3 linked regions of the Tribolium castaneum genome follow. The protein of the gene in region 3 purifies or fractionates together with the protein of the main gene of each other region. This does not show direct contact. Links are inferred from orthologs where the notes say so. Each region holds a gene or a part of one and is shown on either strand. Other genes may lie near its edges. The genes, in order: chromobox protein homolog 3, CkIIbeta and RYBP.

Evidence for each region.
Region 1: the proteins of RYBP (region 3) and chromobox protein homolog 3 purify together in Homo sapiens (affinity purification with mass spectrometry; 4 studies listed by BioGRID and IntAct, with this or other methods). This does not show direct contact. The link is inferred for Tribolium castaneum from reciprocal best matches to the Homo sapiens genes YAF2 and CBX3.
Region 2: the proteins of RYBP (region 3) and CkIIbeta purify together in Homo sapiens (affinity purification with mass spectrometry; 5 studies listed by BioGRID and IntAct, counting the BioPlex papers as one, with this or other methods). This does not show direct contact. The link is inferred for Tribolium castaneum from reciprocal best matches to the Homo sapiens genes YAF2 and CSNK2B.

Annotation. Positions count from the first base shown.
Region 1 is NC_087401.1:16,339,844-16,342,673, reverse strand, and holds chromobox protein homolog 3, read right to left. Parts: upstream 1,529-2,830; 5' UTR 1,372-1,528; intron 1,320-1,371; 5' UTR 1,314-1,319; coding exon 786-1,313; 3' UTR 575-785; downstream 1-574. Other genes in the region: macrophage migration inhibitory factor homolog, read left to right, coding at 106-213, 261-433, 478-556; beag (protein Red), read left to right, coding at 2,026-2,731.
Region 2 is NC_087397.1:979,878-983,690, forward strand, and holds CkIIbeta (casein kinase II subunit beta), read left to right. Parts: upstream 1-1,275; 5' UTR 1,276-1,419; intron 1,420-1,627; 5' UTR 1,628-1,631; coding exon 1,632-1,703; intron 1,704-1,753; coding exon 1,754-1,856; intron 1,857-1,906; coding exon 1,907-2,098; intron 2,099-2,147; coding exon 2,148-2,337; intron 2,338-2,609; coding exon 2,610-2,718; 3' UTR 2,719-3,222; downstream 3,223-3,813. Other genes in the region: mitochondrial import inner membrane translocase subunit Tim17-B, read right to left, coding at 3,324-3,677, 3,722-3,813. UniProt on the Homo sapiens protein: Regulatory subunit of casein kinase II/CK2.
Region 3 is NC_087396.1:24,591,078-24,594,970, forward strand, and holds RYBP (YY1-associated factor 2), read left to right. Parts: upstream 1-1,432; 5' UTR 1,433-1,536; coding exon 1,537-1,977; 3' UTR 1,978-2,047; intron 2,048-3,007; 3' UTR 3,008-3,294; downstream 3,295-3,893. UniProt on the Homo sapiens protein: Binds to MYC and inhibits MYC-mediated transactivation. Also binds to MYCN and enhances MYCN-dependent transcriptional activation. Increases calpain 2-mediated proteolysis of YY1 in vitro.

The sequences.
Region 1 (2,830 bases), on a different chromosome or scaffold from region 3:
TACACTTTTTGTATAAATTCCCGCCCCCCCCTGGGAGGTCACCCAGAGGTCAATTCTGACGTCCATTTCTAGGTTATAAAAACACCGCCAATTTTTTTCCGCAAAATGCCTCACTTTCGCGTTGAGACAAACGTGCCCCAGAGCAAAATCCCGTCCGATTTGCCTCAGAAATTGTGCCAAGTTGTTTCAAATTCCTTATCAAAGCCACTCAATGTAAGTTTGAGGTTACGTCAACTTTGAATAACTCAATTTTTTTCAAGTATTGTGTGGCTACTGTGATCGGAGACGTCCACATGTCTTGGGGGGGCACCAGTGAGCCCGCCGCTCAAGCCACTCTGATGAGCATTGGCGCCTTGGGCGTGGAACCAAACAAAAAGCACGCCAAGGCTTTGTACGAAGTTGTGTGCAAGGAATTGGGGGTTTCGAAGGACCGGTAATTGGGTCTTTGGTGTGGTTTTGTACTTTTTGTGTTTCTAGGATGTATATTCACTTCGTGAACGCGCCGACTAGCGATGTGGGGTACAATGGGACCACTTTTCATGATATTTTCGGGTGATAAGTGATAACGAAGCAATGGTGTTTTGTTTTATTTCAAATAAAAAAAATTATTACAATTTTCTATTGATTAAGTCAAGAAACTAAACTTACAGCTAGGGAGTCAGATTCAAATAATAATAATACGGGAAGATTCTAAACGCCTACTTAGTCCAAATGATTTTTTCGTCTAATAATAGTATATAATTCGTGTTGAATATGTACATTATGAATATCCTTACAACTAGCCTTCACTCGGCTTTATTTTCGTCATTTGTGGGCGAATGCCAAGTGAGACGCTCTTCATAGAACCTAATGACAACTTGGGGGCACTTAATATTCGCCTGTTTCGCGGGCACTAAGTCCGCCTCATCTGTACCCTCCCACTTCATGAGGAACATCAACTGCCCGGAACTATCCGTGGCCCCGATTATTTTTTCGGGCTCTAGCCCCCTATCAAACCCGTGCACTTTCTTCTCGTCGTTCTTCCTCTTGGCCCCCTTCATGTCGGGCGTCGGCGTGCTGTTCATCTTGCGCTTCTTGCTGCGCTCCTTGTCTTTGTTGGCCCTTTCGGCCTCGAAAGCCGCAATCAGCCCGGGACAGTCCAGGTTCTCCTCGGGCTCCCATGTGTTGTCCTTGTCGTCGTAACCGATCCATTTCAAGTAGTATTCCTTAATACCGGCCGCATTTATCCGACTGTCGATTATTTTCTCCACAACGTACTCTTCGTTGGCCTCTTGGTCTGCGGGGGAAGGACTCGTCCTCTTGCTTTTGCTCATTGTGCCCTGATGGAGAAAACACACTGTACACACCGGGGGGCGCACGGGGCACACTTACGCCGAATTTTACTCAACTTTGGAGGGATTTCGTGCAAGAAATTAAAATAACTTCAAAAGCCGCAAAACAGACGCTTTGCTCACAATTTTCAAACAAACATGGCGGAGGTGCGCTCCGCCGGTAACAAGCAGGTTCCTACACCCCTATTTACTAATTTAATGAATTAAAAGCCCCAAATAGTGATATTTCCGGTGAATTATTTATTATTCAAGCCGTTTGCGTTTATTCACCGTAACGTAAAGCCCCCCCAGTATGAAAAAAACGGTGGTTAGGCGCCCCAACTGAATCTGCACTTTTTGGTTTGAAACTTTGATAAATTTTGTTTGCAAAAAAAAATACGTGTAGGTTTGCAAAAATACTTAATTAAATAATTACTAAGTGTTAGTTGTGGGACAGGGTTGGAAAGTTGTTTTTTTTTTAATTTTTTCTACGTGTTATCGACAAGAATTTGCTGTTTTTCCTTGATTATTTTGGTTAATTATTCGCGATAGTAATTGTAGTAAATGCAAAAAGCTTGTTTTTAGCATTTTGGGGCTATTTGGTCTCATTTGAAGTGGTTCACTGTAATTTTTTTCTGGCTAGGAGGAAGCAAGGTTATGTGATTGACAGTTGACAGTTCTAGTTGCAACATTCAGGCCCAGTTTTTGGTTAAAAATGCCTTCGGACGCGGCCCCCGGGTCGCAGCGGCTGACCAACGACGACTTCCGCAAGTTGTTGATGACCCCGCGGTCGGCGCCCGCGAACGCGCCCGCCCCCGGCTCCATCCGGGAGGCGATGGCCAACTCGTCGACGATGCCGCCCCCCAAAGACGACAAGAACGAGGCGCGACGCAAGAAGAAGAGCTACTACGCCAAGTTGAAGAAGCAGGAGGACAATAAGATGGCAGAACTGGCGGAGAAGTACCGAGACAGGGCCAGTGAGCGCCGCCAGGGGGTGAACCCCGACTACCAGAGCGACGACCCGGTGGCCACGGCTCAGGCCTATCGTGCCGTGGCGCCTGATCTGAAGTCGGGGTTCGATGCGGCCGAGAGGCGCCGACAGATGATTCAAGAGAGCAAGTTCTTGGGGGGCGATATGGAGCATACGCATTTGGTGAAGGGGCTGGATTATGCCCTGTTGCAGAAGGTGAGGAGCGAGATACAGCACATCGAGCAGGAGCAGGAGCAGGAGTTGGAGAGGCTGGCGGCCAAGACGGAGGAGAAGGAGAAGAAGGAGGTGCAGAAGAAGGATGAGGATGAGCTTAAGTTTAAGACGAAGATTGGGAAGTCGATTTACCACACGATTTGTGCGCTGAAGAGTCGGCATATTGAACGGTCGGAGATTTTTGTGCCCGGACGCATGGCCTATGTGATTGATTTGGGTATAGATAAATTTTTTTCTTATCAATTTTTACACATAAACTACGTATTATAGATTATGTCTGAAATTTTCAGCTGTTCAAGCCTGTAATTCTTATAGA
Region 2 (3,813 bases), on a different chromosome or scaffold from region 3:
TCAGAAAAACATCGTCGCACTAACACTGCAATTACAGTACAAGCGACAACAACCTTCCAATTAACTAAACACACCGTGGAAGAAAATGCAATGTATTATAACCACTTGTTTGTTTACAACACTCTCCCGCACAAGAGAATGAAGCCGAACAATAAATAATCTGCTACAACCTTGACTCGCAATTAACAATCACAATAAACCAATTACTACATTTTGGTGTAATTTAGCCTTTGTTTAAATAATGATAACAAAAGAGCCAGAATTTATTTATGAGTCAACAGTCTTCAAAAACCGCAACTAGCACGTCCCACTTGTGCAAGCAGATTTCTAAAAGTAGATTGGGTTTTCACTTTTCAACTAACAATAGGCGGTTAAAAGTTTATTGTCCGGTTCAAATGGAATTAAATGTCACTTAATAATTCGGGTGACGACGTCGCGGCGCCTAGGAAAGCCTTCGACTAGACCGGCCGTCTGCGCAAACTAAAAATAGGGAAATGATCCGATTTTCACTATTTTTATCTAGTTTTCACGGTTTTGGGTTACATAATGTCATCAAAAGAAAATTATTTATGGTTGACTATGTTTAGAGAGCGGAGCGCAAATCGGTCATTTTTATTTTCAGAAAAAAATTATAGTGTTTATACAGAGATTTTTATTGGAAACACATCCACACTTTTCGAAAAGTTGCAACAAACGTGCTGAACATTTTCAAAAAAAACTTTAATAAGCAGCTAAAAAGCTATCCTAATGAGCTCAAAAAAATAAATAAAAATAATAAAAATAATAATAATAATAATAATAATAATAATAATAATAATAATAATAATAATAATAATTTTGGAGAAAGAAGAATTGCTGATGTTAAAAAACGCTCTTAGCAGGTTTGAAAAGAAGTAATACATTAATGTAGAAGATTGTAGAAGATTTATAATGCCGGGCGGAGTCTTAAACTGCCTATTTTGAAAATGCCAAGTTGAAAAAAATCTTGGAAAAAGTCTCATTTAATAAGTTAAGACACACATGAATGCAAAAGTGCAAAAGTTATTACATAATATGTTGATTAATGAAGTTGATATGAAATTTTGATAACGGTACATTGTATTGAAAATAAAAAAAACATTTTATAAGTGAATATTTTTGATTAATTAATACTACTGTATGGATAGAAAAAAATACAGGGTGAGCGCGAGGGTGAGTTATTTTTGATTTTTTCTTGGATGCAACCCCGTTTGCGTGTGTGATAAGTTGTGCACGCCGTTCTGAGGTTTAACTGTAGTTAAAAAATCCCACTTGTAATTTTCAAACTTAGCGGTTAAAGCTGTCATTTAATGCCGTCACTTTCCGCTAGATGAGCCCAACATCAACTCTTTTTTCGCGTAGATGAAGTAGCGTAAGCGTGGCTAATCAAGGTACAAAGAGGTAAAATTCTCAAATATTTCTTTCCCCGATCACAATTTAGCCCTAATCTCGTCATTTGCCAACCCTCCACATCCCTTCTAAGCCCAAAAATGGGAAATTAACGTCGTAGTTGTGTCACAAATGTCATTAAACGTAATCTAAACATAGGGTTGGACAGCCACAACCGTCTCAAAATTCCAATTTTCTAAATAAATCGGAAATGTTTTAGGAAAATGAGCAGCTCAGAGGAGGTTTCGTGGATTTCATGGTTTTGCGGACTTAGAGGAAATGAATTCTTTTGCGAAGTAAATGAATTTGCCTGTTTTAAAGACGAGATTTTTGAGTGTATTTGCAGGTGGATGAGGATTATATACAGGACAAATTTAACTTGACGGGCTTGAATGAGCAAGTTCCGCACTACAGGCAAGCTCTTGATATGATACTAGACTTAGAACCGGGTATTTTGAACCCATCCCTGGTTTCACATTTTTTTAACTCGGCTTTTTAGATGATGAACTTGACGATAATCCGAACCAATCCGACCTGATTGAGCAAGCGGCCGAGATGCTTTATGGGTTAATACACGCTAGGTACATTTTAACAAATCGGGGGATCGCCCAAATGATTGAAAAATACCAGTCTGGGGATTTTGGGTATTGTCCACGAGTTTACTGCGAATCGCAGGCAATGCTGCCTTTGGGTAACCCCAACACTTTTGGTATTTTTTTGGGTAATGGTTTGTGCTTTAGGGCTGTCTGATGTACCTGGGGAGGCAATGGTCAAGTCATATTGCCCCAAATGTATGGATGTGTACACACCAAAGTCTTCAAGGCACCACCATACAGATGGGGCCTATTTTGGGACAGGTTTCCCTCACATGCTCTTCATGGTGCACCCAGAATACAGGCCAAAGCGTCCAACAAATCAATTTGTTCCTAGGTATAGCCGAACTGGCGTGAGTCTAATTGAAAGTCTGGTCAAGAGTGCTTGGCGAATTTAATATTGTCAGTTATCAAGTGACAACTGAGAAGTCAAAACCTACTTCATTTCGGAATTTTTGGGATGTTACGTATAATAATCCTCAATAACTTTACACGAAACGAAAAATTAGTCATTTTTTTATTTCGTTGTTTTTAAAGCATTGTCTTGACCCCGCTTTTATTTAGACTCACTTGATTTTTTTAGAATTGTTCTTCAACAAATGATTTCAGGTTATTTGGTTTTAAAATTCATCCCCTTGCTTACCAGTTGCAACAGCAAGCAGCCTCGACTTTTAAGGCGCCTCTGAGAAGTTTGAACTTTAATAATGGTAAACGTTAATTTAAAAGGTGTATACATTTGATTTAATTTATTTCTACCCCAAATTTGTGTATTCTTGTATGTATGAAATTAAATCTTGATTATTTTCTTTCATACTTTTGTATGGCGTTAACTTTGCATAAGGTTAAAAATGTGCAAAAATTCCATCATTTTTATAAATAGGGTTCAATGTATAATAAATTTCCCAGTTTTGTTTTTATAAATGTAAGGATAGTTTAATTTAGAAGCGTCACCGGTTTCGTGTAAAATTAACTAGCATTCAAGTTTGTAAATAACTGATTAAAAAATTCAGATGAGTTGGTGTGTCATGCCTGAGCTTAATTAGTAAATAGAGTGGTCAAAAGTCTGAATTTTTCAATCACACAGCGTAATCTAAGATGTATAAATAACACATTTTAAATAAAACATAGGAAGCAAACCTAGGTTCTGTATTTTTACTTAAGGTAATCACAACCAAGACTAAGTTATGAATTCGCATGTTATCAAATAAAATTTTCTGTTTTTCGTAAGAATCTTTATTTGACCCATTACATAAATAAAACACAGATCAAAATAAACTTATATTTACGCCTTAAACAAAAATTTATCTACAAACACACGCGCGCCTACTGGAACGAGTAGCCCCCGTTCTGTTGCCCCCTCAGCTGGGAGGGGTCCTCCATGGGGGGCATCTGCGGCTGGAACTGCTCCGCTGACAACCTAGTGAACAAAATCCCGACTCCTTCAATTAAAGCTAACAAAACGCCCCCAATGAAGGCGCTCCCGGCCATGGCCGGGAGCCCGTTTCTCGCCGCGAGGATGCCCCCAGTCGCGGCCCCACTTATAATGGAGTTCCAGGGGTCCTCCTTTTTCCTAATGTGGATTAGGGCGCAGTCAATTGTGGAGAACATGCCGCCCCAAACGGCAAAGTTGCCGGCGATTATAGGGGACCGTTGCTTGATAGCAGCCAAACTGCCAACCTAAAACGCAAAATCACCACGGGCTTGTGAAAGGGGGCACATACAAATCGTCTGTTGAAACCCGAAGGGGCGTTGCGAAAGCCTTTAATGCTCTGGAAAACGCCGCCGCCGATGAGCCCCATAGTGAAGGCGCCCC
Region 3 (3,893 bases):
TTTCTTAAGGTCCAAAATCCCGTAATGTGGGCTAGATCGACCCAACAAAGACGTGGATCCGCTATTCTATCGTGTAAGCTCTCTTACGTTGCTGTCAGTCAAAACTTTGCCATGAATGCACCATCCAAGAGTCCTTGTTTTGTCCTGCTTGTACATTAGGCAATACCTTTTATGAGCCGGATTATAAAGACGTGGATATTGCCTTATATTTTGTAGAAATCTGTGTGAACCCGCTTATTGTTAATTATTTCGTGATAATGAGCGATTACCTTGAACGGAAAAAATGCAATAGTGTTGCTGCAACTGAACCCTTTGAATTTAATTACAGCGTTAGTTAAATTAAAATTAACATATTTTAATGAACGAATAATTTATGCGGCAGTAACGAGCGCAATTTTCCTATTTGGAGTACGGAGATTGTTCATAACAAACGTTGAATAAAATGCAACAATAGAAAATGCATTTTTCAAGGGAAATTTCTGCATTTCAGACGCAGTACTATTGTGATCATATCGGATTCTAAATTTATTTGTAGTACAGAACTAATTTATATAATTTCATTTATCTGATTCTATATCATATGAAATATGCTAATTAAACCATGATCAAAACAATTTAATGTTTTAGGTATTATTTCCATGAGAGCTTTAATTGTTATAGAAGATCTATCCTAGCTGAAAAAAAAGAAACGAAAAATTGTTGGAAATCGTAAAAATAGCAAGTGTTATCGTCAGTAAATTAACTTACAATGACAGGACACGAATAGGCATACACAGAAGAAATCCAATGATTTTATTATGAGAAAATACAAAACAGTTATGCAAGAATTTACTTGAGAAAGAATAAAATACAAAGCTAGATTTAAAAAAACCTGGTGATTTAATTTTTAAACAACAGCAATGACGTAGTAAATTTTTGTAAATGTAATAATGGAAAAATTGTCAAATGATGAAAATAGATAATTTTAGGCGCTATCAGCTGCTTTTTTGTTTGTTGCTCTAGGTCATACAAACTCCAGAAAAAACGCAAAAAAGGTCGCCATTTTCACTTTTTTTTTAAATTTTTAACCGCCGATTAAAGCGAAACTGTTAAACAGAGTCAGAGAAAAACGGTAAAATCACTGAGAATCGGAATAAAAAGCCCTACAAAAATGACATAGGTTTCAAGGCGATATCTTGAAAAAAAAATCATTTTTCAAACGCCGATTATCGCCAAACTAAAAGAGCTAGGAAAAATGCTTTTTTCCATCGTAAAGAGCACATCAAAATCTATCGAATAAGATAGGTTTTATTTGATAATGAGACATTTTTAAAATTAGCCATTTAAAAAAAATGCAAATAAATGCAAAACCGCTCCGAGTTTAGTTTTCCAGTTGTAAATTGAAATCAGCTGATTCCTTCGAATCAAACTCGGCGCCACAATGCTGCCACCCTTTGCCACACATGCGCACCATTCTCCTGTCAAACTCGAGTCAATCATGGCGTTAGACGTGTGTTTTGGCTGTCAGCAATCTCGTAAAAAGTGAATTATCCCACAATGGACCACAAGAAAAGCCCAATCCGACGCGCAAAACGTCAAGCAAAGGTGCTCGAGGAGAACTTCTGGGACTGCAGCGTGTGCACGTTCAGGAACACAGCGGAGGCGTTCAAATGCCTGATGTGCGACGTCCGGAAGGGCACCTCGACGCGCAAGCCGCGTATCAACCCGCAGTTGGTGGCCCAGCAGGTCGCCAGCCAATTCCTACCCGCCACCAGCCAACAGAAGAAAAAGGACAAGAAGGCGATGAAGAAACGGCGCCATCCACCAAGACTCAAGAATGTGGACAGAAGTACGGCGCAGACACGCGAAGTCACCGTCAACAGCGTCACGGTCATCATCACCGAGTACAAGCCCAAGAGCAAGTCCACGGAGACGATCTCCAGCTCCAGCTCTTCGGATCATGGATCGCACTCGGAGAGCAGCATGGACGCGAGGTGAAGGGTGGCGTGTCAGTGACTCGAAGGACAATGACGCCTGACGTCGACTTTACTTTGATTGTATATACAGGGTGAGTGATTAAACGCACCGTCTTTCGTTGCCCTCTTATGATTTAAACGCAAACAAACGACTAGTGGAAGCTTTGTATACGAAATATTTGCGATTATCAACTCCGGAAGTGAGATTGTTTTAAATATTTGTTAAGGTTATTTTCTCTTTTTTGTAGTGTAACATTGTTGTCTCTGTTTCATTATCTTGTGTAGTTCATAAAGGATTGTTTTTTTTTTCGTAAATAAATGCAATTATTTGATTATTTCGAATGCACACAATGTCAAAGAGACGCTTTAATTACTTATTAATAAATGGTCAGTAAAATAATAAATAATAAAGTAAAATAAAGTATGAAACGAAAACCAAATATCACTCAAAAAATTTGCGTTTATTGTAGCTTCTTTTTATTTCTTTGTATGTACTGTGTGAATTTTTTCAAAGCGTCATTAATTTAATCCGCAATTAAATTCGTAATCACGTGACTAAATTCTTTTTTACTGTAAATATAGAAATTTTCGCCGAATTTCATCATGAATCAAAAAATTATCAAATTTGTGTAAGGTTTTAGTGCATTTTTCAATCAGAAACTCACTTATTCGCGAAATTTGAATTCAAAAAATACTAAATTGGGTCCAAAGCACGAGATAAATTCGTTCTTTTTTTCCTTGAGGTTTTTTCATCTTGATTTTTTATATTAAAAAAAGCATTATTTCCACATCGGTAATGAAGGTTTTGAGACTTTTTTAATAAAAATGAAAGCGCGTTCAAGAGGAAAAAACCGACAACACCGTATTCACATTTTTTTTAACTTGAATGAAACGGAATCTATATGGTGTTTGATGAATCTTTCGGAAACCGGAGGTTTGAAAACTTTGAATTACTTACAACTTCCACTAATTGTTGGGCGCTTAAGTTATAAGAAGGGAATGAAAGAATCGGCGTTTAACGACTCACCCTGTATGTTTTTGACTATCATCAGAGGAGCCAACGGAGATAGTACTCGATTCCTAGCTGTCACTGCCCCAACCAGCTGTTGTTCAACGTAGACGATTTACTTTTTCGGGTTTCGAAGAAAATTTTATCGAGTAAAGACTGTGAAGGACTTTATATACCCGCATTAAATGCATTTATATTATGTAATAATATTCGAAATAGCTAATTTGTATTATAAATTGTTGCTCATTGTTAATGTATTTATGAGTGATGTCCGTATGTTTGTTTGATGGAAAATGGTGTGTGATGAATAAATTCGAAATTTTCTATTTTTCAGTGACTTTCATTTTTAATTTAAGTGGATATCTACTTGCCAATGCAACGTTATTAATATTTTTTTTTGGTTGTGTTGAAAACAGTCGCGTGCTACTTTCATAATTTATTATGTACTAAATAATGCATTAATATTGTTTACTTAAAAATAACTTATCAGATATTTAAAATTTCACGTACTCAATGTGTTTTAAAATTTAATGATTTATTTAGTGGTGAACCCAAAGAGTTGTACAATTGATAATGGTGAGCTAATAGGGGTTAGGGTTTTCATTCCATCTAGTATATGCATACACTTGAGTAATCGCCATCAAATTACCTGATTGTATAAGTTCTGTCACTAATAATATTGATATTAATTGGCCTTTTGAATATTAATTGTGTTACAACTTGAATTAATCAAAAATAATTGAAACGACTGATACCAGAAATCACAAATTACGCTTCACTTACGGTAAATTAATTAACATTCAGAATCAAATATGACAGACGTCCTCAAAGCTTATATCAACAGGTAAGTTAGAAATTGTTATCTTTAAAAATAACGCGACCAGGAACTGATATAATATTAATTCAAGTAAATTTTTAATTCGCAATTT